Elephas maximus indicus: one gene and its partners. The protein of the gene in region 1 binds, or shares a complex with, the protein of each later gene. Links are inferred from orthologs where the notes say so. Each region holds a gene or a part of one and is shown on either strand. Other genes may lie near its edges. The genes, in order: GTF2H4, GTF2F2, POLR2C and GTF2E2.

Region 1 (7,246 bases):
TTGATGAGTAGGATTGTTTGTCTCCTTTGTGGTAACCTTATTATCTACCCCTGTTTTTCTAAATTTAAACCTAACTTTTATTTCTTTGTATCGCCGTATGTTCCTCTCCATATGGAAGGTGTATGATTACATTTCTTAGTCCCTCTTTTTCTAATGTTGTTTTCTTTTATACAATAACATTGCTCTTACCCTGTTTTGAGCTTTTTTTAAAAAATAATCTTGCTTTGTTTTTTGGATTTCCCTGTCTGGGTTGAATTCTGGTTGCTCTGGCCAGTGTTCTAGTCTTGGGTTGATACCTGATATTATTGATTTTCTAACCAAAGAACTCCCTTTAGTATTCCTTGTAGTTTTGGTTTGGTTTTTACGAATTCCCTAAACTTGTGTTTATCTGGAAATGTCTTAATTTCACCTTCATATTTAAGAGACAGTTTTGCTGGATATATGATTCTTGGCAGGCAATTTTTTTCCTTCAGTTTTTAAAATATGTCATCCCATTGCCTTCTTGCCTGCATGGTTTCTGCTGAGTAGTCCGAGCTTATTCTTACTGACTCTCCTTTGTAGGTGACTTTTCTTTTATCCCTCGCTGCTCTTATAATTCTCTCTTTATCTTTGATTTTGGCAAGTTTGATTATAATCTGTTTTGGTGACTTTCTTTTAAGATCTACCTTATGTGGAGTTCGATGAGCATCTTGGATAGGTATCTTCTCATCTTTCACGATATCAGGGAAGTTTTCTGCCAACAAATCTTCAATAATTCTTCCTGTATTTTCTGTTATCATCCCCTGTTTTGGTACTCCAATCACTCGTAGGTTATTTCTCTTGATAGAGTCCCACATGATTCTTAAGGTTTCTTCATTTTTTTTAATTCTTTTATCTGATTTTTCTTCAAATATATTAGTGGCGAGTGATTCATCTTTGAGTTCAGAAATTCTAGCTTCTATTTGCTCATTTCTGCTCCTCTGACTTTTTATTGAGTTGTCTATTTCTGTAATTTTATTGATAATCTTCTGAATTTCTGATTGCTGCCTGTCTATGGATTTTTCCAGCTCATTAAACTTTTCATTATGTTCCTGAATAATCTTTCTAACTTCTTCAATTGCTTTATCTGTGTGTTCCTGGGCTTGTTCTGCGTGTTGTCACATTTCCTTCCTCATGTCTTGAAGGGTCCTGTATATTAAACTTTTGTATTCTGTCTCTGGTAATTCCAGGAATGCACTTTCATCTAGAAGATCCCCGGATTCTTTGTTTTGAGAGCCTGTTGAGGTGATCATCATCTGTTTCTTTATGTGACTTGATATTGACTGTGGCCTCTGAGCCATCTATAAGTTATTGTATTATTTTATGCCTGTTTAATGTGTTGTAGCTTCTTGCTTTGTTTTGTTTTGGTATAACCCTATGGGTTGCTTGAGTGAGCTAGCTTGATTATTTTCACCTTTTGAGCTCTGACATCTGGTCCCCAGATGGCTAGAGCTGTTATCAGGTATATCAGTCTAGGAGTCCATTCAGTTTTGTTGTATGAATTCAGCTCAGGTTTCCGGGTAGCTGATCATCAAGTATGTGTTACAGGCTCTGTACTACAGACTTAGAGGGGCAGGGGTGATTGGCATATATATCGGTATCTGATTGCAGCAGGGGGTCACGCTCTGAACAAGGTAGGTGGCTGAGAACCGACTCCCGAGTGTCTCTGAGGAAAGCATGTCCCTGTTCCCTAGAGTGTGCAGGTGGGTGGGTTCTGCAGACGGACCATGGGCACCCAAAGTTTTTGATTGTAAGGTCTGGGAGGTACCAGTTATCTTTGGACCCCTGTCGCGGGTGGCTGGGTGACCTGAGTGACCTGAGTGGAGCTACCAGTCCTTAGGTCCCTGATATGGGTAGGTGGGGACCTTGTTTAATAGGCAAAGCAATGTCAAACATCAAACACCCACCTCTTAAACGCACAGCTGAAATGGTCAGAGTCTGCCAACAAGGGCCTATTCTCCCGAAATAGTCCCACACACGTCCATGCAGAAGGGAAAGGTGCTCAAAGTCCACGGATGGTTTATGCCTGGAGAGGAGCTGCTTCTGTCCTGAGGTCCCCGGGTTAGTGGAACTAGCAAATTATCTTTTCTCCCAAATGCAAATTTTTTCCTTCCCCAAGGCTGGGAGGATGGCTCTAGGTGCTGAACAGTGCCTATCTCAGGCCCAGGGAGTTCAGCCTCTGAAGCTGGCTTGGGGGTGGGGGGGCATGGTAAAATATACCCAAGTACTTAGCTTTTGCCAAGAGCACTGTTCTCCTCAGGTTCCGGAGGTGTGAGTGGGCTGTAAGGCTGGCTGCTTCTTCCTGAGGAAACGGTGGCCAAATGCTACTACCAGCCCGCCGCCGCTGCCGCTCCAGGAATGGTGCCTGAGGGCTCCCGGCGATTCAGGTTCGATAACCACTCTCCACTTCTGAATGGTCTCTTCCTCCCCCTGCCCCTCAGTTCGTTTTCTAAGCTTGCCTTTAAAGCTCAGGGCTCCCAGCTTGTCACAAACATACTGGTTTCACTTGTTTTTTCAGGTCTTTGTTGTAAAGAGGGCTCCCCAGAAGTGTCTGTCTATTCCGCCATTTTGGCTCTGCCTCTCGAGTTTTTTTTTGACTCATAGAGACCCCACCGGGCAGAGGAGAACTGACCCACAGAGTTTCCAAGAGGCAGCTGGTGAATTCAAACTGCTGACCTTTTGGTCAGCAGCTGAGCTCTTAACCACTGCGCCCCCAGAGCTCTGAAACTATTGACAGATACTGCCAAATTGCCCTTAAAAAGGCGTATGTCAACCTTTGACAAAAGTGTGTAAGTGAAAAAAATTTGTATGAGTATGCTCGTATATCCTTGTGAACACTGAGTTTGTCAAACCTTGTTTTGTTTTGTTTTTTATTGTTGAGCTAATCTTGTACTTTATGGTTTACTTTGATATTTGGTTTCAATTTACTTTTCCATAATTACTACTGAAATTTAGTTTTTTCATCTGTTTACAAGGCACTTGTATTTTTTCTGTTTATTGTCTGTTCATCTCTTGTGCTTTTCTTTTGTTTTTATTGCTTTGTAAGAGCTTTTTGTATTTTGTCTATTTTATCAAACATTTCTTCCCAGACCGTAATCTGTCTTTTAACTCTAACTTTTGCCATAAAAGAGTTTTGTCAGCTTTGTATCATGTTTTGAGGATTTTAAACGCTGACTGCTAAAGAAACAGACAGGGAATACAAAGCCTAAGAAAGTCTTACCATTTTGGGTCCAGTATCCTTTGCTGCCTCACAAATGTGCTTCAAATTCCAGCTTTTGCACTGTCTAGCTGTCTGATTGTGGGCAAATCTCTCAACCTTGCTGGGCTTCAGTTTTCGTTTGTAAAGATGGAATAATAAAACCTGCCTTATAGGAACTTGGGGGGAAGTGTACTTCTAGTCTGAGGACGTCCCCTCCCCTTTCCCTGCAGTAGATTTGTAAGCCAAATCAGAGCAACTTTTTTTTTTTAATTGTATTTATAACGACCTTCTAACTAAACGAGAGGTGACTGCGTGGTGGAGGTGGAAATTAAGATTTATTGAGTACTTACGTGCCAAGTAAGGTGCAATAGCCAAAAACCGAATCAATTACATAGCCGTGGAGTCAATTCCAACTCATAGCTACCCTGTAAAACAGAATAGAACTGTCCCCACAGGATTTCCAAGGCTGTAAATATTTACGGACGCAGACTGCCCGATCTTTCTACTGCGGAGCAGCTGGTGGGTTCCAACCGCTGACCCTTCGGTTAGCAGCCGAGCGCTTAACCACTGCGCAACAAGGCTCATTGGACCGTGTCAACTCCAAACTCGCGCAAACTTTCGGGAATGTGCTCTGTCCCAACTTCACGGGGAGTAACTAAGCTCAAGGAACCCAGTTCCCACGTCTCTAAGCCTAAGCGCCTCACACCGCGCCGCCTCAGCACGCCTCTGCCCGGAAGCCCTCCGGGCCCATCTACTCCCGGGACCCGCCTCCCGCCTGCCGCCGAAGCCGGTTAGATGCGATGTTAGCACCGTGGGTCGAGAGCGCCGCGGAACGAAAGAGCCCAGCCGGTATCCCCAGCTCTCTAAATTAAAAACCAGCCTCTCTCCTGCCCGCTTTCTCGCGGTGCGTTTCGGGAGTTGTAGTCAGACGCGCTTCGGCCTGCTTCGGGATGGACAAGAACAAGACTCCAATTCCCAGTATGTCCCGCGGCTGGGGAGTGCAGCGCCTATTCTCCTCCCCACTTTTCCACGCCTTCCTTTCTCTTCTAAATCCTCCGCTCTGAGTTCCTGCCTGTGAAGTCCTTCGTCCCTCTTGCCAGTCTTTTTCTCGCATTTTTTTCACCATTCTTTCTCTTATTCCTGGGAGCCAATGCGAGACACCAGTTCCCATTAAGCGACTGCTCGAGACTCGGGGTGCGCGAGGGGTATCGATCCAGAGTGGTGAGGGGCACCCAGGAGGGCGGGGGTGGCGGAGAAATGAGAGAGAAATTGAGAGGAGAGGAGTGGGAGGAAAGTAGGGGAGAAGTTAGGAGCTAGGACTATGTGGGATCACGGTGAATGGGGGGAAACGGTGGCAGGGAGACGTAATTTATTGCCGTTTCCTAGCACAAGTGGGGCTAAGAAATTGCAGATGGGAAGAACTGACAGATTTGGAGCTCATAGTCTGATCTGACCAGGGAGGATGGAAGGGAGGGAGGGGACTGGGTTCAAACTGGCTTCTTAGCCACTGCTCAGCTAAAAGTGAGACAAGCCATTGAAATACAAAATGATTTTTGCAAACATGGGACAATTAACAGAAGTAGGGTGTGAGGAGGCAGGCAAGTAGGGGAGCTTGGTCAGATTTGGGAGAAACAGGAGGAGATAAGTGAGATGGAAAAGGAAACCACAGAAAAGATGGGTTATCGTGGAGGAGGCTGAATCTGATCTCGAATCAGAATGAGAAAGGTGAGGGGTGGTACTGGCATGGTTGGTGGGAGTGCTCTTCTAACAATGCATCCTTCAGGTGATGGAGAGCACCCCTTCAAGGGGCGGACTGAACCGAGTACACCTACAATGCCGGAACCTGCAGGAATTCTTAGGGGGCTTGAGCCCTGGGGTATTGGACCGATTGTATGGGCATCCTGCCACCTGTCTGGCTGTCTTCAGGTGAGGACCCCCTTGAAGGCAGGGACCATGTGGTGGGGGGAAAATGCAATGAAGGCCTCCAGACTTGAATAAGTTATCATGGGTAGAGGCTTAGCAGCCCTGGAGAACTTGGAGATTACTCATAAGGGTGGTAGGCCAAAATAGATGGAGTTTGTGGGGCAGCAGGACTGGTAAAGGTGTGAGGGCTAAGATGGGACATTTGAGAGGCCCTTGATGGCATAGTGCTTAAAAGCTACAGCTGCTAACCAAAAAGTCGGCAGTTCGAATCCACTAGGTGCTCCTTGGAAACCCTGTGGGGCAGTTCTATTCTGTCCTGTTGGGTTGCTGTGAGTTAGAATTTATTTGACAGCAATGGGTTTTTTTTTTTTTTTTTGGTTTTGATGGCATAGGTGCAGCTATAAGGCAGCTTCTGACATTAACATTTGACATCTACTCCTCTGTAGGGAGCTCCCATCTTTGGCTAAGAACTGGGTGATGCGGATGCTTTTTCTGGAACAGCCTTTACCACAAGCTGCTGTAGCCCTGTGGGTGAAGAAGGAATTCAGCAAGTGAGTCTCTACTGCTTTCTCACCAGATACAAATTTCCCAGCAGGTGTATTTCCCAAACTGCTGTTCCTTCGAACACTCCCGGGAAGTATTAATGGTATTAATGGGTATGCCACAAAGCTTGTAATTAAGTTTGGGAACTCTGCATGCTATATTTCCCTCTCGGAGAGCCACGATATGTACTGAGATGCTCTGATAAGCGTTAGAGTAAAGAAATTTAAGACACTGATTTCACTCTGGAACAGTGTTCTAAGGATCTCTGGTTCAGAAAAGGCAGAAATCAAAGCTTTTATGGGCCTACTTCTTTTTGTTCTCCAGACACCCAAGTCACCTCTTTGCTTCTGTTTCAGGGCTCAGGAGGAAAGTACAGGGCTGCTGAGCGGCCTCCGTATCTGGCACACCCAGCTGCTCCCTGGAGGTCTCCAGGGCCTCATCCTCAACCCCATCTTCCGTCAGAACCTCCGCATTGCCCTTCTGGGTGGGTATGTCACCTCCATCTCTTCCTCACCTAGGACAGGGGAAATGATAAACTTCTTGGGGGCTAACTCCCAAGGGGCCTCCCTGTAACCTTGTGGGTGCACCTTTGGGAGCCCCTTTATAAATAAATCAGTTGGACCAGATGTAGCTGGGTGGGGTAGGAAATGTCCCCCACTCATGTTCCATGGGGATAAGGGGGGAAAGGGGGCGGGGGTAGGTGGGGAGCACAGGGCAGGTTCCTTACTCTTGGCCCATTTTGGCCATAGAGGAAAGGCCTGGTCTGATGACACAAGTCAGCTAGGACCAGACAAGCATGCCCGGGACGTTCCCTCCCTGGACAAGTATGCTGAGGAGCGATGGGAGGTGAGGACTTGGGACTGTGTGTGTCTCTGTTCATGCTGCTACTTACCTGTGGCCCTTAGAGGCATCACTCTCTCTGTTCTTTTCCATTTCTTAGGTAGTCCTGCACTTCATGGTGGGCTCCCCCAGTGCAGCTGTCAGCCAGGACTTGGCACAGCTCCTCAGCCAGGCTGGGCTCATGAAGAGGTACAACAGCTCCTGCTTTGCTGTCTCCTTGGGTCCCTGCTAAACTGGGTGTCTCGGGAGGATCAGGATTGGAGGGGTTGGCTGAAAAAAGGAGAGCTGGGTGGAGTAAGGCCAAAGATACCAAAAACAAACCAAAAAAAGTGAGAGGGCAAGTGGGGATGGTGGCCCTTCTCTGTGTATCTCCACCATCGTCCCTGTCTGTGTCCCTAGTGCTGAACCTGGAGAGCCACCCTGCATTACTTCCGCTGGCTTCCAGTTTCTGCTGCTGGATACCCCTGCCCAGCTCTGGTACTTTATGCTGCAGTATCTGCAGACAGCCCAGGTGAGGCCAGGGGCTGCTTGCCAGCCTGCTCTGCTCTTCCCAAGACAACTCCCAATGAGAGACCCCCACCTATAGGCTCTGTTTCCTGATTTTCTCTTTTCTCCTTCTCCTCCCTTTTCTCCCTCCTATCCTTCCTCTTTTTCTCTGCCCCTTCCTCCCTAGAGCCGGGGCATGGACCTAGTGGAGATTCTCTCCTTCCTCTTCCAGCTTAG
Region 2 (6,989 bases), on another chromosome or scaffold:
AGATGAAAATCCAAGTATTCTCTAGATATGGGCATGAAAATCACCCTCAATACTTACCCCAGTGCAAATGAAACAAGTTCATATTATCTGCTAGGTGTGCAAATCAAACCCCATTGCCTATTGGGACGCCTTTTACTAGAACAGAAATAAAAGTTGTCAAATAAAGGCGGGATATAGACAGATTTTACAACAGAAAATATTTGCTAGCAATTCTCTTCCTCTTTCAGAAATAAGGTTGTCAGAGGACAAGAACTGGCAAGAAAGAGAAAATATCCAGCATATTCCTTTCATACCCAGGAAAGACGTATTTACAAGTCCATTCATTTCCTTGACACATAAAAAAAGAAATACTGCATACCAAGTTGATGCTAGGAAGCAATGATTTTGCAAGCAAGAAATAACAAGAACAAATCATCGGCTTAAGATTTTTTTTTTTTAAAAGAGATAAAATGTATTCAAATGTGCATATATGGGGAGAATACCAAAATTCTTTTAACTTCTTCAATTTCAGATTCATTACGTTCTTTCACATTCTCATTTAGTCAGACTGATGGTTAACTTTATGGGTCAACTTGGCTAGGCTATGGTGCCCAGCTGTTTGCTAAAACACTAGACTAGTTGCTGTTATAAATTACATATGGTGGCCTCAAGTAAAGCAGATTACCTTCTATAATGTGGGCAGGCCTCAATCAATCAGGTAAAGACCTTAAAAGCAAAGGGAAGCTTCCCTAGGATGAGTTCTACTCCTCTTCCATACCGTAATAGATATGAACACTCCTACTCTTCACTCTTCTTAACGCCTGACCTACACGCAGATTTGGGGAGTGCAGGAGTCTACAGCCAGTTGCCTAACCAACTGATCTTGCAGCCCCCACAATCACGTGAGCCAATTCCTTGAAATAAATCAATCTCTCTCTATCTCTACACATGTATATGTCTGGTTCTGTTTCTCTAAAGTACCCTAAGATAGTCAGCAAATCCTGACAATTTTTTACTGAAAACATTTTCCTAACTCTTCAGACTTCATCATCTCATACATACCTATGCTACTGCGGTAACTTTCTGAATTCTGACTCTGGTCACCCTTACCCTCTAATGCATACTGCATACTGCCAAGTTTATTTTCTTTTTAAAAGAATCTTATGCATCCCTGCCTTACTCAAAACCCTCCATTTTCTATAGACTAAAATCAAGAGAGAATCCACTCAACAACAACTGACTTAAAGCTAAAACATCTCCGTTTCACGATATGACAATTTGGGTATATGGTCCCAAGCTTTTTTTACACAAACTCTCTGCTCTAGGCATAATAGTCTCCTCTTTGTTTTCCAGAACGCATCATGTTAACATGCATTTCCAGTCTTGTATTTCTGTTCCACTCCTATAGGATCGCTATGAGTCAGAATCAACTCACTGGCAACAGATTTTTTGGTCTATGGAATACTATGCTATAGCTCGATCCACCCATTCAAATCCTGTAAGGCAAACAACATTTATTGTGCATCTACTGCGCTCCAAGCATAAAACCATAATCTCCATTCTCACCACTTTTTCAAGCTCTTTTCTTTAGCCTACAAAGCAGATTATCTCCTTAATCAATCTCTTCCAGTTGGGAGTGAGACACCCATTTACTTGATCGTTTTAAGTCATGCTGATGTGGCTGTGAGATAAGTCGAATGAGTGCCACAGACTAAGGATAAGGTTGAAGGATGAAATCATGCATTCATTCATCAAATATCTGCTGAGCAATTACCAATGTGCCAAACACTATTGTGGGTCCTGTTCTAATGGAATGTGATTGTGTGTATGTGGGTGTTGAGGGGCAGGGAGTAACCATCACTGAACGCATGAATACGGAATCACTTTAGACTCTGACAAACACTTTGAAGAATATAACAAAAGTTTGACGTGCTACCAAATCACCATAAAGGAGCTATTTTAGAGGGGTGGACAGGAAGAACCTCTCTGATATTTAACTGATGAGGACTTGGCCGTGTGATAAGACAGTAAACTAAAGCATTAACAAACCAAAGATCTCTACATTTTATGCGAGGTTCAAAGACTGTCATGATCACAGTTTGAACATGCATATGTCTTATGAAACTCCCCCAAAAAACAACACTTCTCAGTATAAAAAAAGTCAATACAAACACTGTGCTAACGGCTAACCCAGACTGCAAACGAAAAGGACGCAATACTAGTCTTTACATAAAACATTTATTGACGGTCAGTCTCAAGAGACCCAATCGTGCTCTAAAAGAAAGGTCGAGTGACCTCTTCTCCCATTAGTTCAGAACTCTTCTGAGAGCCCTATTAAAGGTCATCATCCTAAAAGAACAATTTTAAGGGTAAGCAACCTTCCGTTCTACTTTCTGGCCGAGAAAGTAGATTCTTCCGCGTGCTCTCAAGACTAAAATCCGTTTCAACAAGATTCAGGAATTCTTCGATGTGGGATAAAATGCACCGCTCAAATCGGGGACACCAGACGGGGCACCAGGGCAAGCCAGGTCGTGGGGAACAGATCCATTCCAGGCATACTTGGACTCTCAATTGGCTGAAAGACACTCAGCTTCCCTAAACTAATTTTCTCATCTGCAAACGGGCAAAACAACGACCACACTTCCCCAAGTATGTGAAGCTCTAATGAGATGGCCATAAAAGAACTTTAAAAGCCGTACGGAGCGGGACGATCGTAAGTCACTTAAACTATTTCTATCAGGGGGCGCACAGGCGGGAGTCCCGCGAACATTACCTTGACCAGCCACACTCCCGTGTTCTGTTTGGCGCCGGTCAGATCGAGTTCGCCGCGCTCAGCCATGAGTCTGTCGCCGGTGGAGGCGTGCAGCCGGGGCAGCGGCCGCGACAGCTGGGGGACTTCTGCCGGAGGAGTGTCCGGGGCAACCGGCGAGCCGCGGAGGAAGGTGGCCTCTGAGGAGCTAGGGTTTCTCAGCTACCAGGAAGCTGGAAACCTGAGGAAAAAGGAACACGCCGCTGGGGGCCGGGAACTGCGCCTGCGCACTGCCACCGTCAGTACGGCGCGTTGCTGGGGACAAACTTTCCAGTCGGCCCGCGCTTGGGTGGGTGTGGCTACCGGAGAAGCCCTATCTGATTGATTAAAACGTACGGTGGGACGGGCCAAAACGTCATCAGTACCTTTAAAGACTAGGTCAACGTAACTAAAGAAACTCAAATCGCAACCTATTATCTTCCAGCCAATTTCAGTTCAAAATGACCCTGTAGGACAAAGTAGATCGGCCCCATAGGGCTTCCAAGGCTGTAAGCTTACAGGGGTACTGGGTTCCAACCCTGATCTTTTGGTTAGTAGCCAATCGCTTTAACCACTGCACCACCAGGGCTCCTATAACTAAGGAACAAAACAAAACCCATTGCCATTGAGTTTATTACAACTCATGAGGACCCTATAGGATAGAGTAGAACTACCCCGTAGAGTTTCCAAGGAGCGCCTCGTGGTTTTGAACTGCCAACTTTTTGGTTAGAGACATAGTTCTTAACTACTACACCACCAATGTTTCCCTAACTGAGGAAAGAGGGCATCAAAACAGAATAACCAATGGGATTTAAAGAGACAGAAGCTGTCAGTATATGCCCAACCCTGGCCAAGGAGAGAGAGACAACATTTTGAAGGACAGAACTAGAGTAAAAATTGGAGTTCTTCAAATATCAGTTTCCCGGGAAGTGAACTAGCACAAATGGGCATGGGGATTGGATTAATTTGCCCCAGGTAATCTGAAAACATGCCATTTCTAGACCTGAAAAGAAAGCGGTGTCTCAACTCAGAGGCTGTCCCTGGGGACCTATAATTGAGTAAGCACAGTCTTTAGATTCCAAAATCTGGACTTAATTAGGTCAGTGACAATACAAACACGTAAGAGACAAACCTGATTGTTGAACTCCCCTGCTTAAACAAATTTCTTTTCTCTACTTGGCCCTAGAATAAAATTCAATCCCCTTGCTTCATGAGTCCTCTCCGTTTGATTCCTTTGCACTCCTGCTCCTGACTCTACCACACTTCCCACTGTAACCCAGTGAGGGTTCTTGTCCCGTCCTGTTAGCAGATGGAAATATGACAGACGCCACACCGCCAGTTGTAAGGGAAACAGAAAGTGGAAATTTATTGTTTGTGCAGACAAGGAACGCGGGGCCTAGCAGCCAAAAGACCACGCGCTACCAGCCCCAAGGGAGCTTAGAGCTTTTATGCCCTTCAGTCCCTAGGGGGTGGGATTGGTGCCCCAAATCCGACACCCCATCCTCCCATGTCCATTTTTGGAGATCCAGGTGCTGAATTATTTGTAAAGGAAGGGAACTTTCACTTTACAAGTGGGCTGCGGTGCAGCTGTGTACTGGAGAACATCCGCTCTGGCAAAGTTCAGATCAGGGGTCAAGTTCCAGGCCTCGGCTCTTCAGAGCCTGCGTGGGCACCGAGATCTTGGTTTGCGCATGCGCGGGGTGTTGGTGCCAAATTCAAGCCTCAGGTAGTGCCCTCAGCGCACTGGGGCCAAACAGCGGTTAGGACAGGAGGCTTGGTGGGCTGCAAGTGGGGGTAGGAACTGCAGCGGATCGGGAAGCCTCAGTGACGGCTTCACAACCACACTGAGCCTATCAGACCTCCCTGAATTCGTGAGGCTCTTCCTAAATTATTTCAGAGCCTCTTCACACTTGATTTCCTATCCTCGGATCCCCTAGTCTTCCCATAAGCCCGTCCTCGAATAAACTTCTATTTATCTTTCAAGACTAATGGAAACATCAGTTCCTACGAGACCTTTTGCCGACGCCCCAGAGGAAGTTCATTTCCCTTCACATCACAGTGTGTGACACTCAGGGGCGGATTATCCGATAAGCAAGTTACACACGGGCTTATTTGTGCTTATTTTCTGATCTGTACAGCACAATTTCACCTGTTTTTCACCACAAGAAAGACACTTAACTTACTTCACTGGCACTTAAGACAAAACCAAAAAATCATGTTGCCCATTGGGTCAATTCTGATTCATGGTGACCCTACAGGACAGAGTCGAACTGCCCCATATGGTTTCCTAACCTTTAAGGGGGAGCGCTGGTGGTGCTGTGTGAGAAAGATGTGGCAGTGCACTTTTGTAAAGGTTTACAGCCTTGGGAACCCTATGCGGCAGTTGTACTCTGTCCTACAAGGCCACTATGAGTTGGAACGGATTCCACAGCAATGAGTTCCCTCCCCCCCTTTGGTTTGCAATCTTTACGGAAGTATACTGCCATATCTTTCTCCCACAGAACGGCCTCAGAGTTTGAACCAGCACTTAACCACTAGCCACCAGGGCTCCTACCCATAACACACTGCACTAAAATATACATGTTTACATGCCTGCCTCTGCTTTCTAGGCTATGAGCTCCTCCCAGGCAGAAATATTTATTCATATCTATAATGTCTAGCACGGTGTTTGACACATTGTCACATTTCAAAAGGCTTTGGTTGAGTGAATAGTCACTGAAGTAAGATATTGTATGAATGGCAAGTAATATATTAAATCACACATCAGACCCACGCACAAAATCGAAGAAATCCCATCACTGCAGCATAGGACCAGGAAGAGCCATCAGGTCTCTGAGATCACTTTAGAAAAACTAATAGGAAAGACAGGAACCAGGCAGTGTGTTAAAAGGGAAGGCTGTATTCTCGAATCACAACTTGGGAAAGGGCCCAAAAACATATAGAGTTCAAGCAGATGAAGAAAGCTCCTTTAAGCTTTGATGAAGTAGAAGGAATAAATCGAAATAGGAGACCATGAAAGAAGGGTAGTAAAGTAGCCTGGAGCACCCTAATAAAGGACTTTGCCAGTTGCTATTGAGTTGACTCCAACTCATGGTGATCCCACATGTGTCAGGGTAGAACTGTGCTCAACAGGGTTTTCAATGGCTGATTTTCCAGAAGTAGATCACCAGGCCTTTCTTACAAGGCACCTCTGGACTTGAACCTCCAACTTTTTGGTTACCAGTTGTTATGGATTGAATTATGTCCCCCAAAAATATGTGTCAACTTGGTTAGGCCATGATTCCCAATATTGTGTGGTTGTCCTCCATTTCCTGATTGATATAATTTGCCAGTGTTGTAAACCCCAATCTCTGCCTGTGGTTAATGAGGGAAGATTGGGTTATGTTAAAGAGGATTAGGGTGGGATGTAACACCTTTAGTCAGGTCACATCCCTGATCAAATGTAAACAGAGTTTCCTGGGGGTGTGGCCTGAATCACCTTTTGTCTTACAAGAGATAAAAGAGAGAAGCGAGGGGAGAGAGAGTGGGACCTCATACCATCCAGAAAGCAGTGCCAGGGGTAGAGTGGGTCCTTTGAACCTGAGGTTCCTGCACAGAGAAGCTCCTAGACCCGGAGAAGATTGATAACAGGGACCTTCTCCCAGAGCGGAAGGAGAGAGAGAGGGCCTTCCCCTGGAGCTGATGCCCTGAATTTGAACTTCTAGCCTACTAGACTGTGAGAGAATAAAATTCTGTTTGTTAAAGCCATCCACTGGTGGTATTCCTCTTATAGCAGCACTAGATGATTAAGACACCAGTCAAGCACATTTACCATTTGCAACACCTGGGGACTCCAGTAGTGGACTTTAGAGTAAAGAATTAGTGCCTTGGCCTTGATCAATGAGTTATAAGAAGCCTTAAAATTTATGTGCGTGCATGCATGCTACACAGGGGTTGTGGGAGAAAGAATGGCAAAGAAATGGGTAGAGAAAAAAGGAAAACATGAAGATTTAAAAATGATAAAATTGGGAAAGAGGAAAAACCCAACAATTTACTGAGCACCTGTCCTCATACACTGTTGAGCAAAGAACAATTTTTTCCCTACCTGTCCTTTCCAAACATCTTCCAGCTTGGGGATGGATGTCTGTGGAACTGGGAGAGAAAAGGAGAACACAGCCTAACAATATCCATCGAATTTACTGGGAGACCCACAAGGTGACAGATATTGCAGCCAGATTCCTCA
Region 3 (7,476 bases), on another chromosome or scaffold:
AATCTAGTACAAGCTGGACGTTGTCAGGACAAATCACTCTGAGAAATAAAGGCACTCCCTCCCCACCACATTCCACCCAGTCAGGCAGCATACCCGGGAGTACTGCAGCTTGTCCACAATGTCGTCACTAATGAGGGGGATTAATCCTGTAAGACACAGAAAAGCACTTTAAAGACAGTCAAGTAGTGAGGCCCAAAGGAGAACCTACAAGGCCCCTCGGAGGCGAGCGGAGGCTTCCTCCTGAGACCAGGCACAGCACCCCAAGCCCAGCACTCACCGAGTCTGTGAGCAATGAACTCATCATGAAGGACCGAGGAATTGGCATCAATCTGCACCCAGTCAATGGCTGAAATACGAAGGAAGCGGAGATGCTGTTTAGTCACTGAATTCACCTAAAGACTGAGAGCAGTGGTTCTGGTGACGGAGGCAACATCTGACACTGATTCCACTGCAGATGCAGGATGTTCTCTGTGCAACTCGGAAAATGCCAGTGGCTGGACCATGTTTCTCTGAGCTGAGTATTTCCAGGAGAAGCAGTTACATCTGCTACCTTAAGTCTACCAACACTAAGTCCAAGAACACAACTATGTGGGCCCTAAGTGGGGGGAACCTCAGACTTATGGTCCATACCTCATTTTCTGATATAAAGACCAGATCACCCAATTTAGCACTTCATTATCACTCAGTCCACTAATGTTTACTGAATTCTTTTAATAGACAAGACATGCTGAGCAAAAAACCCAAATCCCTACTAGCAATGAGCTAGTAGGAGGGCGGGGAACTACTCTCACACACACTTAAACACACATGTATTCATTCATAAGTAAACATTTACACATAAGCAATTAAACCTAGAAGTCGAATGACACTGGAACCCAACTGCCAGATGTCTCTAACACTCAAAGATCAGAAGAAGGCAAGACACAGCCAGGCTCCAGGCTGCTTCATCCTGCAATGCTTTCAACTGCTTCTCCCACCCAAGCCATTCAGTCACTCAAAAAAGAACCATGGCCCAAGCTTTTCTGCCTCTGCCTCTTTACTTCCCTCACCCCCTCCTCCCATCATCCCCTTATCCTTTGATACTCTCAACACCAAGTCTTGTCCGTCCTCGATGATACAGAAGCAATCACGCCCTTCCTTTAAGCTTCTCCCTCACAAAACTCCATCTGGACTTCTCTTAAGACACTTGCCATATTTTGCCTTGTGTTGTATTTGTATACGTCTTGTTTCTACCTCTAGCTTTAAAAATTCCTTGAGCCAGATCTTGAAATCTCCTCATATGCCCAGCCATGGCCTGGGCTATAACAGGTGCTCGATGTTACTTGTAGAACTGAACTTATGGAAAAAGTCGCACTTAGGTGCAGAATGTTAGAGTTGCATCATAAAGTCCAATTCCCTCATTTTACTCCTCATGAAACTAAACTGAGTGATTAGGCAGGGGGAGGGTCAGGTGCCAAGCTCTGAGCTGAAGAAGTGATGGGGGAGGGTGGATAAACTACAGTGTTTTCTTGTTTACCAAGCAGTGCGCCTGCTTACTTCCCTAAGAGGCCACACACCTGATGCATTATCTATGACTTATATTTTTTTTGCTTAAGCCAAATTCTCTGAGCTATCACTCAGAAAATACTTGTAGCATACTTGTCAATACATAAAATACCTGAAGAGGGGTGGCTGGAACCAGAGAAGAAATAGATTCTCCTTCCTTTAACTGCCGAAAGCACTGCAGCTGTTTCCCTTGAAATACCCATCAGAGTCTACATTGTATTAGTGTTATCTGTGGACTCACTGCCCACCCCTGAAACTTCACTGTGAGGTCCATGAGCCAAAACCCAATGCCGTCGAGTAAATTCCAACTCACAGCAACTCTGCAGGACAGAGAACTGCCCCATAGGGTTCCCAAGGCTATAAATCTTTACAGAAGCAGACTGCTACATCTTTCTCCCCTGAAGTGGCTGGTGGGTTCAAACCACCAACCTTCCAGTTAGCAGCTGAGTACTTTAATCACTGCACCACCAGGGCTTCTCCCCGTGAGCCAAAGACCTCATTTTATATAGGTTTGTACTCCCAGCACCCAGCACCACGCTTGGCACTTACATGCATCATAAATGCAACTGAAGAGTCATAAAAAACAATGACATCTACCAGGACTGAACACTCACTAAATGCAAGGCCCTGCATATGGACTACCTCCTTTAATCCTTGATATCACCCTGATAAACACTATTCGTGTTACAGATGAGAAAACTGCAGCACAGAGAAGATTAATAACTTGCCCAAGTTTCACTGAGGTGCTAGGTGAAACAGTATTCGAACCCACGTCAGTAGACCCCCGAGCCCACGCTCTTCACCAATGCACACGGAAGGGTAGACCTAAGTGGCGTGAGAGCCAGGGAGGGGGCCAGCAGTGGTCGCTGGGCCAAGGGTTCATGGTTTTGGCAAGTTTCCAACACTGCCCTTTTCTCAGCGGTCCAGATTATTCCTCCGCCTCCCGTCCCAGGCCGCACCAAGGACTGAAGGCAGGAAGCCCAAGGTGGGTGGGCGGAAACCGAAGGCGGGGGGCTGGTCGCCCAGGCAACGAGGAGGTAGGGGTCGCTTACCTATTATGGGCACTTCAGCAATGAAGACCCTCCGAATAGAATTGGCCACCCTGAGGGATGAAAACCAGACGGGGTGAGGGCGCCGGGCGGCCCCGTGCCTCATGGTTCCCAAAGCGACGGCCCTGGCACAGGCAGGGCAGTTCTGGAAGGGACCACCCTCACCCCATCCCCGCCCCGGGTTTGAGGCATTCCAGCACTCCCAAGCCACCAGCCTCTTCCTTCGGTGGCCTTACGCTAGGTCCGTATTCTCGATGATGAACTTGACATTCTCGTCGGTAAGCTCGGTAATCCGCACGGTGGGCTGGTTGGCGTAGGGCATCGCGCCGCGGAGTCCCTGCAGTCAGCTTAGCTGCGCCGCCGCCGCCGGAAGTCAGCCAGCGCGGCCGTCGCCGCTTCCGCAGAGACTCGCTCACAGCGCCGCCTGCCGATCGGAGGCCAGGGCCGCTGCGGGCCAGACGTTTAATCGGAAGATGCTTTTGTAAACCCTAAAAAACCACACCTGTTGCCCTCGAGTCGCTTCCGACTCATAGCGACCCTATAGGACAGAGTAGAACTGCCCCATAGGATCTCCACGGAGCGTCTGGTGGATTCGAACTGCCCACCTCTTGGTTAGCTGCCTGAGCTCTTAACCGCTGCGCCACCAGGACTTCTTTGTAAATCCAGCCTGCTTTAAAAATGTACCAGGTTCCACCTTAGAGAGTAATTTTGCCAAGAAGTGGATTTGCCCTTTGACTCAGCAATTACACTTCTAAGAATTACCCTGCAGAAATGTTTGCATTTGTGAACAGGCATACGTGTACAGGGATGTTGGCTGCAAGGTTGTTTGTAAACCAATTGTCCATTGATAGAGATTTGGTTAAATATACACACATAGGAATATAATGAAGACTTTAAAAAGAATGAAGTAAATTTGTAAGCTCTGTGAAGAAATAAGATTATACTTTAGCAATAAGTATGCTTCAGCAAAGTACACAAATAATAGACATCTGCCTTTTCGCTCTCACCGTAAAGTCTAGATCATGCATGTGGCTCCTCAAACTGCTGGAGGCAGGGAGCTCTTTAACAAAAGGACTGACGCCTATTCTTGAGACAAAGAGAAAGGGTACTGAGGGGGCCCTTGCTCCACAGTCTGTGTAATGGACTGAACCATGGTCCCCCCCAAAAAAGCTATGTCCCTGTACTCATCCCCAGAACCTGTGAATGTGACCTTATTTGGAAAAAAAGTCTTTGCAGATGTAATAAGGATCTTGAGATGAGATCATCCTGGATTATCTGGGGGGGCTCTAAATCCAAAGACAAGCGTCCTTATAAGACATACCCAGAGAAGACACATGCAGAGGAGAAAGCAATGTGAAGATGGAGGCAGAGACTGGAGAATAAGGTTACAAGTCAAGTAATATGGACAGTCACCAGAAGCTGGAAGAGGCAAATGAAATCGCCCCTAGCGCCTCCACAGGGAGCATGGCCCTGCAGACACCTTCATTTCAGACTTCTAGCCTCCAGAACTGTGAGAGAATTGATTTCTGTTTTTTTTTAGTTACCAAGTTTGTGCTAACTAGTTATGGTGGTCATGGGGAATTAATTTAGCCTGAAGTAAGAAACCACACATTTGGGAGAGCAACTCTATGGAAATAAATTTGAAAAACTAGAAAATCTAGATTTCTTATATTCTTTGTGTATGATCAGTACACTCTACTCTGTCCTATAGGGTCCTATAGGGTCGCTATGGGTTGGACTCGACTCGACGGCACTGGGTTACTGGGTTATGATCAGTACATACAAATCAATTTGTTCCTTTAATAATTAATTTCATCATATGAATATATCATAATTAATCAGTTCCATACTGATGGACACCAGCAATATCCCCCCAAGCACCTATCGGTTTGTCATACTGTGGGGGCTTGTGTGTTGCTGTGATGCTGAAAGCTATGCCACCGGTGTTCAAATACCAGCAGGGTTACCCATAGTGGACAGGTTTGAGCTGAGCTTCCAGACTAAGATAGACTGGGAAGAAGGATCTGCTAGTCTACTTCTGAAAAGCATTAGCCAGTAAAAACCTTATGAATAGCAGTGGAACATAGATGCAGTGCTGGAAGGTGAGCCTTTCAGGTTGGAAGGCATTCAAAAGACAATGGGAAAGAGCTGCCTCTTCAAACTAGAGTCGACCTTAATGACATGGATGGAGTCAAGCTTTTGAGATCTTCATTTGGTGATGTGGCATAACTCAAAACGAGAAGCAGCAGCTGCAAACATCCATTAATAATTGGAACATGGAATGTATGAAGTATGAATCTAGGAAAATTGGAAATTGTCAAAAATGAAAAGGAACACATAAACATCTATATCCTAGGCGTTAGTGAGCTGAAATGAACAGGTAGTAGCCATTTTCGATTGGAAAATCATATGATCCACTATGCTGGGAATGACAGCTTCAAGAGGAATGGTGTTGCATTCGTCGTCAAAAAGAACATTTCAAAAAATCTACCCTGACGTACAATGCTGTCAGTAATAGAATAATATCCATATGCCTACAAGGAAGACCAGTTAATACGACTATTATTGCTGATGTCACATGGATCCTGGCTGAAAGCAGAGAATACCAGAAAGATGTTTACTTGTGTTTTATTGACTGTGCAATGGCATTTGACTGTGTGAATCATAACGAATTATGGATAACATTGTGAAGAGTGGGAATTCCAGAACACTTAATTGTGCTCATGACGAACATGTACGTAGATCAAGAGGCAGCCGTTCAAACAGAACAAAGGGATAGTGCAGTTTAAAGTCAGGAAAAGGTGTGAGTCAGGGCTATATCCTTTCACCACACTTATTCAATCTGTATGCTGAGCAAACAATCTGAGAAACTAGACTATATGAAGAAGAATGGGGCACCAGGATTGGAGGAAGACTCATTAGCAACCTACATTATGCAGATGACACAACCTTGCTTGCTGAAAGTGAACAGGACTTGAAGCACTTACTGAAAAAGATCAAAGACTACAGCCGTTTAGTATGCATTATACCTCAACATAAAGAAAACATAAGTCCTCACAACTGGACCAATGAGCAACATCACGATAAATGGAGAAAAGATTGAAGTCATCAAGGATTTCATTTTACTTGGATCCACAATCAACAGCCATGGAAGCAGCAGTCGAGAAATCAAAAGACGCATTGCATTGGACAAATCTGCTGCAAAAGACCTCTTTCAAGTGTTAAAATGCAAAGATGTCACCTTGAAGAGTAAGGTGTGCCTGACCCAGGCCATGGTGTTTTCATTCGCCTCATATGCATGCGAAAGCTGGGCAATGAATAAAGAACACTGAAATATTGATGCCTTTGAATTATGGTGTTGGTGAAGAATATTGAATATACCATGGACTGCCAAAAGAACAAATCTGTCTTGGAAGAAGTACAACCAGAATGCTCCTTAGAGGCAAGGATGGCGAGACTTGTCTCAAGTACTTTGGGCATGTTACCAGGAGGGCTCAGTCCCTGGAGAAGGACATCATGCTTGGTGAAGTAGAGGGCCAGCAAATAAGAAAACCCTCAACAAGATGGACTGACACAGTGGCTGCAATAATGGGCTCAAGTATAACAAGGATCATGACGATGGTGCAGGGCCAGGAAGCGTTTTGTTCTGTTACACACAAGGTCACTATGAGTCGGAACTGACGTGATGGTACCTTACAACAACATACTAATGGACATTTAGATTGTGGCTAGTTTCTATTATACATAGGGCTACATTAACATCCTTGTTCACAGTTGTGTATCTGTAGAATAAATTTCTTGAAGTGGAATTTCTGGTCAAAGGGTATATGGACTTTTTTTAGAAACATGGTCAAATAGCCCTCCACATAACCCTCAGGTTTTGTGATTTCCCATCTCTCCCAACAGTGGGTATTACCAAATATTTGATCTTTGATAATCTGGTAAAAATAAATGATCTTGTTGAATCATTTTACATTTAACTAAAATGTACAATTTTTATAATCAAACTGGTCTGTAGAAAGATTGTACGAAGTTCATTGACACAGTATTAAGAGTATTTCTTTGTGGAAACCCTGGTGGCGTAGTGGTTAAGTGCTACAGCTGCTAACCAAGAGGTCAACAGTTCAAATCCTCCAGGCGCTTCTTGGAAACTCTATGGGGCAGTTCTACCCTGTCCTATAGGGTTGCTATGAGTTGGAATCGACTCGACGGCAGTGGGTTTGGTTTTGGTTTATTTCTTTGCAGCCTTGCTAATATTAAATCCTGTTTTCAAGTACTTAAAGAATGGGTATACACCCTTTCCCTTTCAGCCTTATCAAGTCTGAATCATGCATGTCATTTTGGCTTCTGAAAATGCTGGGGAAAAAATACAATACTCTTTAATAAAATACATCATCCACAGTTCTGTGTAGTTGCTGGGGAGGGGGTTTTTCATTTCTGCACTCTCAGTCCCCAGCAGCTTGCCCCATACAGGGCATATACTCAATAAAGAATCACCAACGTCCCCTAACCAGTCTGCAGAGAGGTTTGAACAGGCCTCAAAAAGGTGGCAGCTGAAATGGTAGGAGTGGCTGGGACCTTCAGAATCACAGCACTCATGTAGAGAGGAGGGCCTGAAATAGAATTTGCCAGGGACTTCATTTACAGGGCATAACGAAGAGTAACCAGGAGAGGAGATAAAAGCAGTCTGCCTTAGCAAGGAGCGACACCTCTTCCTGAGACAGGAAAGGAAGGGCATTGAAGGGTTTCTTGTTCCACACCTATTTCTTCTCCATCAAGTCAGACTTCAGGTTGTCTGCTGAGTGAAGATGGATGCCATGAAGGATAAAGGAAAGACTGGAATGAAATTTGGAACAGCTACTGCAGTGAACTTGACAGGGTG
Region 4 (6,860 bases), on another chromosome or scaffold:
AAAAAGATGAAGTAAAAGAGCTGAACAGAAGTTTTCAAAGGGTGGGTCAAGAAGATAAAGTATTACAATGAAATATGCAAAGACTTGGAGTTAGAAAACCAAAAGCTTGGAACTTCTCAACCTGAAAGATCTGAAGAAAAAACTCCAGCCTTGAGTTGCAATACTGAAGGATTCTATGGCGAAAATACTGAACAACTCAGGAAGCATCAAAAGAAGATGGAAGGAATACAGAGTCACTGTACCAAAAAGAATTGGTTGATGTTCAACCATTTCAGGAGGTAGCATATGATCAAGAACTCATAGTACTGAAGGAAGAAGTCCAAGCTGTACTGAAGGCATGGCGAAAAACAAGACTCCAGGAATCGGTGGAATACAAACTGAGATGTTTCAACAAGCAGATGCGGTGCTGGAGGTGCTCACTTGTCCGTGCCAAGAAATCTGGAAGACAGCTACCTTGCCAACCAACTGGAAGAGATTCATATTTGTGTCCAAACCAAAGAAAAGTGATCCAACAAAATGCAGAAATTATCAAACAGTATCATTAATGTCACACACAAGTAAAAATTTGCTGAAGATAATTAAAAAGCAATTGCAGCAGTACATCAATAGGGAGCTGCCAGAAATTAAGCCAGATTCGGAAGAGGACATGGAAGCAGGGGTATTAATGCTGATAGCAAATGAATCTTGGCTGTAAACAGAGAATACCATGAAGATGTTTACCTGTGTTTTATTCTCTATGCAAAGGCATTCGACTGTGTGGATCATAACAAATTATGGATAACATTGCAAAGAATGGGAATTCCAGAACACTTAATTGTGCTCATGAGGAACCTGTACATAGACCAAGAGGCAGCTGTTCAAATGGAACAAGGAGATACTACATGGTTTAAAATCAGGAAAGGTGTACATCACGGTTGTATCCTTTCACCATACTTATTCAATCTGTATTCTTAGCAAATAATCCAAGAAGCTCAACTATGTGAAGAAGAACGGGGCATCAGGATTAGAGGAAGACTCATTAACAATCTGAGATATGCAGATGACACAACCTTGCTTGCTGAAAGGGAAGAGACGTTTAAGCGCTTACCGATGATGATCAAAGGCTACAGACTTCAGTATGAATTACACCTCTACGAAGAAAACAAAAGTCCTCACAACCTGTTTATCATGATGTTGCTTATTCTCCCAATAAGCAACATCATGATAAGTAAAATGAAGATACTACCAACAGTGTCTACATCTAGCTCAACTGTAAAAAACAAAAAGAGTCATTAAAGCGATTTTTTAAATAGTAAAGCACCACACTATACAAATATGTTATCATTTCAGTATTACTATTTTGAGACGGGTTTGACAAGAAATAACAAAATGATCACACCGGAGTAAGGAAGGTAGAGTGTCTTGGGGCAAGGCAAAGTGTGATACCAAGAACGAGCAATGAGAATTCACAAGTGACATGGTGGGGGGCAACAGAAGACTGTAAACTCTAAAACGGGAAGCATTTGTATCAGTTTATTTCCCCTTGTTTAGATAAGTAATTAATCTGGGATTTTCCTAATGATTTAAACACAAATTCAAAGAAAGCCTTAGAGTTTAAAAAGACCTAAATACAGTATTTGATCCTCACAACACTATGAGATAATAAGGTATTAGTTTCACTCCTATTTTAAGATGTGAAATCTGAAGTGAAGCTGTATGGTTACAGTCACACAGCTGGGAGAACTAGGGCTAAAACCACAAATATCCTGACTACCGGTCAAGTGCTCCTCACACCGGATGGGAAACACTGCTTAAGGCCTCTGCAACAAAGGCCACCTGTGTGGTACTGCTGACGATCAATGAATGGCACCTAGAGCAGAAGGCTTACTAGTATCTCCCGTTTTCACCACTGCATGCTCTAGCTAGCTTTTCCTCTTTTCTCAGAAGACTTCTCAACATTCCTATTGAGTTTCCCATCCCTATGCTGAACTGTGTTACAGTAGACAGCACACATCACCATCCCCAGTTACATTAAAAACCACCACACAGACTCACCACACCGGTTCAGGGAGCTGGCGCCTTCCTCCAAGGATGGATTTTAAGAAGCCAAAACTAAACCAAAATCTTCTGCCTCCAAAAGCCACGTTCTTGCCACCACACCAGTCGCCTCTTTTATTTAGCCTTTCTACTTTTCCTCCTTTCCCTGACTAAGCCTCAGAGGTGTCACTGGCATCTAACAACACTGCTACCAACAGCCGGCAGGCTGAGAAAACACACAGAAGCAGAGAGTAGGCTGAAAAAGGTACCGCAGTATCGTTTTTGGAAAACGTCTTTAAACTACGCAGAAAACAACTATAACTGTATGACTAAGTTTAAGGATCATTACAAACTAAGTCTCCAAAAGCCAGCTTAAAAAAAAAAACAGTCCGTGGGTGAGTGTCTAAATCACAGCCTTGAGGTACCTGTCGGCACACTGTGGTTCCCGAAACTCCACACGCGGTTCCCTCAGCTACCGCCCATGGGAACGTGGGGGAGGAAGAGACTTCTCAGCTTTCCGACGGTGCATCTTCCCTCCTGCCAACCCAGAAGTTTGCTCAATGAACGCTCCGGCCTCAAAGACAAAGCTCCCACGGAACTGTTACACCCTTGCAGTGCTCGGCCGGGAGAGCCACAGCCCAGCCTTCCGGGGCTGGAAGCCACGCTCGGCCCCGCGGGAGGAGGTGGCGCGTCCCCGTCCGAGGAACAACAGCCCAGGCTCAGCGCCCCCCAGCCGGCGGCCGCGGCCCCTACCTCAGCCAGTAGAGCCGCCCCGCGCGACCCGCCGCCGCCTCCCCGCGCCTCCGCCAGGGCCCGCCGCCCACGCCGGAGCCGCCGCCTCTTCCTGCTCGCCGTCAGCACCCCCGCCTGCTCGCACGCACGCCAGGTCGAGGTCTCCCCACCGGCCGCGGCGGCAGCGGCTACTGAGGCGGCGACTCGGCCCCGGGCTCCGCCCGCCACTTCCTGATCTGGCTGCTAGGAGCCGAGTCCCGGCAGCCACCGCGGCGCCTTCGAGGCCGAGAACGCGCATGCGTCGTCACGTGACCTCGCCCCCTCGCCAGGGGTACCGCGGGAGGGTAACAAGCAGGCTCGGGCGTCCCGGATCCCCATGACAACCAGAGGGCGGGCTGGGGAGGGAGGGGGCGGGGCGGAACCGAGGGCGGGACTGAGGGGGCGTGGGGGAGCGTGAGCGGGCGGCGCAAAGGAAGATGGAGGACCCCTTTGCTTTGTGGCAAACTAAAGCTTCTGGTTGCTACTCTCATCGTGCTCTGGAATCTGTTGAACCCAGAGTAGGGGCGCCAGCTATTGAGTGTCTACACAAAATTCAGAAATTTGTGAATTTACCTCAAATGGCTGCCTCTTTCACAAGTGAGAGAACAGGCCCAGTTGGCCAGAGCTCAACTACTCTGTACCCAAAACTAAACCACTGCCATCCTGTAGATTCCAACTCAGTGACCCCATAGGGTTTCCAAGGCTCTCAATCTCTAGGGAAGCGGAATGCCATATTTTTTTCTAGCGGAGCTGCTGGTGGCTTCAAACCTCTGACCTTTTGAAGTAGCAAAAATTCATTTTCTTTAGTGTTTTAATATTAGAGAGAATATATGTTCTTATTTGTTTTAGTATAGCTGTATAAGCTGTGATTAATCTCTAGTCCTTGGAAAATGGTGCAGGCTCTGTTCAAAATATAGCTGAGCAGCCTGTTCCACTCTTAAAACATGATACCTTACAAACAGGTTTCCCCCTATTCAAAATAGGTGATGGAGAGCTTGACATAACTAACGCCCTAAGGATGCTCTAAGTAATCTCTCAACATTTTTTTATTGCACCAGATGTACCCATCTCTTCCAAAGGGGTGCGGAGCTATCTCAGCTCCTGTGGCCTTGGTCTTTCTTCTTTTTGTTCTCTTGAGAGATGGCCTTCAGCCTGCAAACCCATAGGAAGGCTCTCTGGCATTTTTAATCTGCAGCTTTTTTTTTTCGCTCCCTATCTCAGCCACAGTGGACTTGGCAAAACAGTTCCACTAGCCAAGAGATTGTTACGTGAGTTTTTCAGCCTGTTACAAATATACTGATGAGAGTCTGGATGCCTGACATGCATATCTTTAGTTGAATAGTTTTTTTGTGGTTGTTTTGTGACGTATAAGACCATCTGTGGACTACATGCTCAAAAGATTAGATAACCCTGATCTTCCCCATATAAAACTCTCCCGTCAACCCTTTAGGGTAGACAGAATTTGGGAGAAATTTAGCCCCCTCTGTCTCTTGAATGGAAACCCCGGTGGCGTAGTGATTAAGTGCTATGGCTGCTAACCAAGAGGTCGCAGTTCAAATCCGCCAGGCGCTCCTTGGAAACTCTATGGGGCAGTTCTACTCTGTCCTATAGGGTCGCTATGAGTCAGAATCGACGACGGCAGTGGGTTTGGGTTTTTGGTTTGGGTCTCTTGAATACCGGTATTCAGTAAAGCCCTCTTACTGCTTACCTCCTCCTGTCTGAGTATTGGCTTTGCGGCAGGCTGCTCGGACCCGCGATTTGTGGTAACGCTTTCGATTAGCAGACCGGCAGCTTTACCCACTGTACCACTAGGGCTCCTTCAACTACTCTGTAGCTGTAGTTTAATTGTGTTTAATTACTTAGTACTGGTTACTCCTCAAGTTACTCGACCTGTACCTAAGTTTTCTCATTTCGGAAATGAGGATAGTATTGTACTGCAAAAGACCTCTTTCAAGTTTTAAAAACAAAGATGTCGTTTTGATGACTCAGTTGCACCTGACCCAACCAACAGTCTTTTCAGTTGCTTCACAGGCATAGGAAAGACGGACAATAAAAAAGAAAAACAGAAGAATAGATATATTCAAATGGCGGTGTTAACAAAGAATATTGAATATACCACAGACTACCAGAAGAATGAACAAATCGGTTTTAGGAAAAATACAGCCAGAATGCTCCTTAGAAGTGAGGATGGTGGGACTTCAACTTGCTTACCTTGGACAGTCATTGAAAGAGACCGATCACTAGAAAAGGACATCATATTTGGTAAAGTGGAAACGAGGGAAACCCTCATGTGATGGATTGACCCAACGGCCACAACTGACTCAGACATACCAGTGATCAGGAAGATAGCGCAGAACCAGGCAACGTTTTATTCTGTTAGACATAGGTCTCCAGGGCAGCAAATCTGAGGTCAACAGGCAGACAACTAGTAAGGTGTTATGGAATAATGGGAAGGAATCCAAGACGAAAAAATAATCTCAGAATTTAAAATTGCATTGTCCCGAGAAACATTAGCAAGTTTTGTATTAATGTAGCAATTGTATTTCACCGTTCTTTTCCCCAATAGTTATATAAATCCCAGTGTCTCATGTCTTCATGGAATTAATTCTGTCACTCTGCTGGTTTCCTCATTAATGAGTGAGACAGAATATACAAATGCACAACAACTGGATCATAGAGGATAATAGAACTCTGACCCACATAACAAGCCAAACCACAACCTCTGCAGCAATTGCCACAGAATGTTCAGGACTTGCCCAAAGGCTACCAACTTCCCTATCCCCTGCCCCAACCCAGAACCAACTCGAGAAAGCCAAATATGCTCCCCAAATCAATCATATAAGATGCCCTACTTCTAGTTAGCCAACCTCCAGCTTCCCCTGCTGTCTTAGGCTCAGTTCCCTAGAGAAACAAAACCAGTAAAGCATATAAATGTATTTACATATAGAGAGAGAGAGACTTACATCAAGGAAATGGCTTATGCGATTGGAGAAGCTGGAATGTCCCAAATGGATCAGGATAGAGGCTCTTCCTGATTCACGCAGCTGCCGCAGGGGCTGGCAAACCCAAGACTGGCAGGTCAGAGAGCAGGGCTCTTGCTCATAGGCTGTGAACTTCAACACATCCCAAGATCAGCAGGCAAAGCCACAGGTAAGCTGCTAGCTCAAGTCCCAAGAACTAGAGGCTTGATCCCATTGTTGCAGCCACTGTGTCAGTCCATCTTGTTCAGGGTCTTCCTCTTTTTCACTGACCCTGTACTCTACCAAGCATGATGTCCTTCTCCAGGGACTGGTCCTTCCTGATAATATGTCCAAAGTAAATGAGACCAAGTCTCACCAGACTGGCTATACATCTTCCAAGACAGATTTGTTTTTCTGGCAGCCCCTGGTATATTCAATATTCTTTGCCAACACCATAACTCAAATGCATCAATTCTTCAATCTTACTTATTCATTGTCCAGCTTTCACATGCATATGAGGTGATTGAAAATTCCATGGGTTGGATCAGGTGCACCTTAGTCCTTAGAGTGACCTCTTTGCTTTTTAACACTTTGAAGAGGTCTTTTGCAGCAGATTTGCCCAATGCAATGTGACTACTTAGACTACTTTCATTAAATATTAGTTCAATAATGAACACACTTGTCGAAAGTGTTAACTTTACATGCAGGAAGAAGTTTAACGTCTTGGAATAACCTGATTTGTCTGCTCCTACGATGCTGTTTTGTGTGTGTGCATGGGTGGTGAAAAAACACACGACACACAGGCCAACTCAACAATTTCTACGTGACACTGACTACATCCTTAGAGTTGTAAAACCATTCTCACTATCCTTTTCCAAATTATTCTACCACCGTTAACATACACTCAATGTGTAAAATCATTCTTGCTATCCTTTTCCAAATTATTGGAAATTAACAAAAACTCAATGTCCTCTTAGCAAGAATACTCCGTATTTTCTCTTCCCTCCCACTTTGGTAACCACTACTAATCTTTGGTTTCATTATGTTTGTTTATTTCATATTAGGTGAGATCCCCAGTGTACTTTTTAATTCCACAAGTAGTCATGGATCATC

The links.
Region 2: GTF2H4 (region 1) and GTF2F2 share a complex: the UniProt entries of both Homo sapiens proteins name them as parts of the TBP-based Pol II pre-initiation complex. The link is inferred for Elephas maximus indicus from reciprocal best matches to the Homo sapiens genes GTF2H4 and GTF2F2.
Region 3: GTF2H4 (region 1) and POLR2C share a complex: the UniProt entries of both Homo sapiens proteins name them as parts of the TBP-based Pol II pre-initiation complex. The link is inferred for Elephas maximus indicus from reciprocal best matches to the Homo sapiens genes GTF2H4 and POLR2C.
Region 4: GTF2H4 (region 1) and GTF2E2 share a complex: the UniProt entries of both Homo sapiens proteins name them as parts of the TBP-based Pol II pre-initiation complex. The link is inferred for Elephas maximus indicus from reciprocal best matches to the Homo sapiens genes GTF2H4 and GTF2E2.

Annotation. Positions count from the first base shown.
Region 1 is NC_064819.1:91,215,927-91,223,172, forward strand, and holds the start of GTF2H4 (general transcription factor IIH subunit 4), read left to right. Parts: upstream 1-4,234; 5' UTR 4,235-4,411; intron 4,412-5,000; 5' UTR 5,001-5,003; coding exon 5,004-5,143; intron 5,144-5,586; coding exon 5,587-5,691; intron 5,692-6,039; coding exon 6,040-6,171; intron 6,172-6,432; coding exon 6,433-6,529; intron 6,530-6,623; coding exon 6,624-6,712; intron 6,713-6,922; coding exon 6,923-7,034; intron 7,035-7,196; coding exon 7,197-7,246. UniProt on the Homo sapiens protein: Component of the general transcription and DNA repair factor IIH (TFIIH) core complex, which is involved in general and transcription-coupled nucleotide excision repair (NER) of damaged DNA and, when complexed to CAK, in RNA transcription by RNA polymerase II.
Region 2 is NC_064832.1:35,134,172-35,141,160, forward strand, and holds the start of GTF2F2 (general transcription factor IIF subunit 2), read right to left. Parts: upstream 3,022-6,989; 5' UTR 2,819-3,021; coding exon 2,753-2,818; intron 1-2,752. UniProt on the Homo sapiens protein: TFIIF is a general transcription initiation factor that binds to RNA polymerase II and helps to recruit it to the initiation complex in collaboration with TFIIB.
Region 3 is NC_064839.1:24,366,837-24,374,312, reverse strand, and holds the start of POLR2C (DNA-directed RNA polymerase II subunit RPB3), read right to left. Parts: upstream 3,001-7,476; 5' UTR 2,917-3,000; coding exon 2,831-2,916; intron 2,648-2,830; coding exon 2,598-2,647; intron 347-2,597; coding exon 278-346; intron 147-277; coding exon 94-146; intron 1-93. UniProt on the Homo sapiens protein: Core component of RNA polymerase II (Pol II), a DNA-dependent RNA polymerase which synthesizes mRNA precursors and many functional non-coding RNAs using the four ribonucleoside triphosphates as substrates.
Region 4 is NC_064840.1:69,554,410-69,561,269, reverse strand, and holds the start of GTF2E2 (transcription initiation factor IIE subunit beta), read right to left. Parts: upstream 3,001-6,860; 5' UTR 2,770-3,000; intron 2,761-2,769; exon of another isoform or gene 2,554-2,760; 5' UTR 2,442-2,553; intron 1-2,441. UniProt on the Homo sapiens protein: Recruits TFIIH to the initiation complex and stimulates the RNA polymerase II C-terminal domain kinase and DNA-dependent ATPase activities of TFIIH. Both TFIIH and TFIIE are required for promoter clearance by RNA polymerase.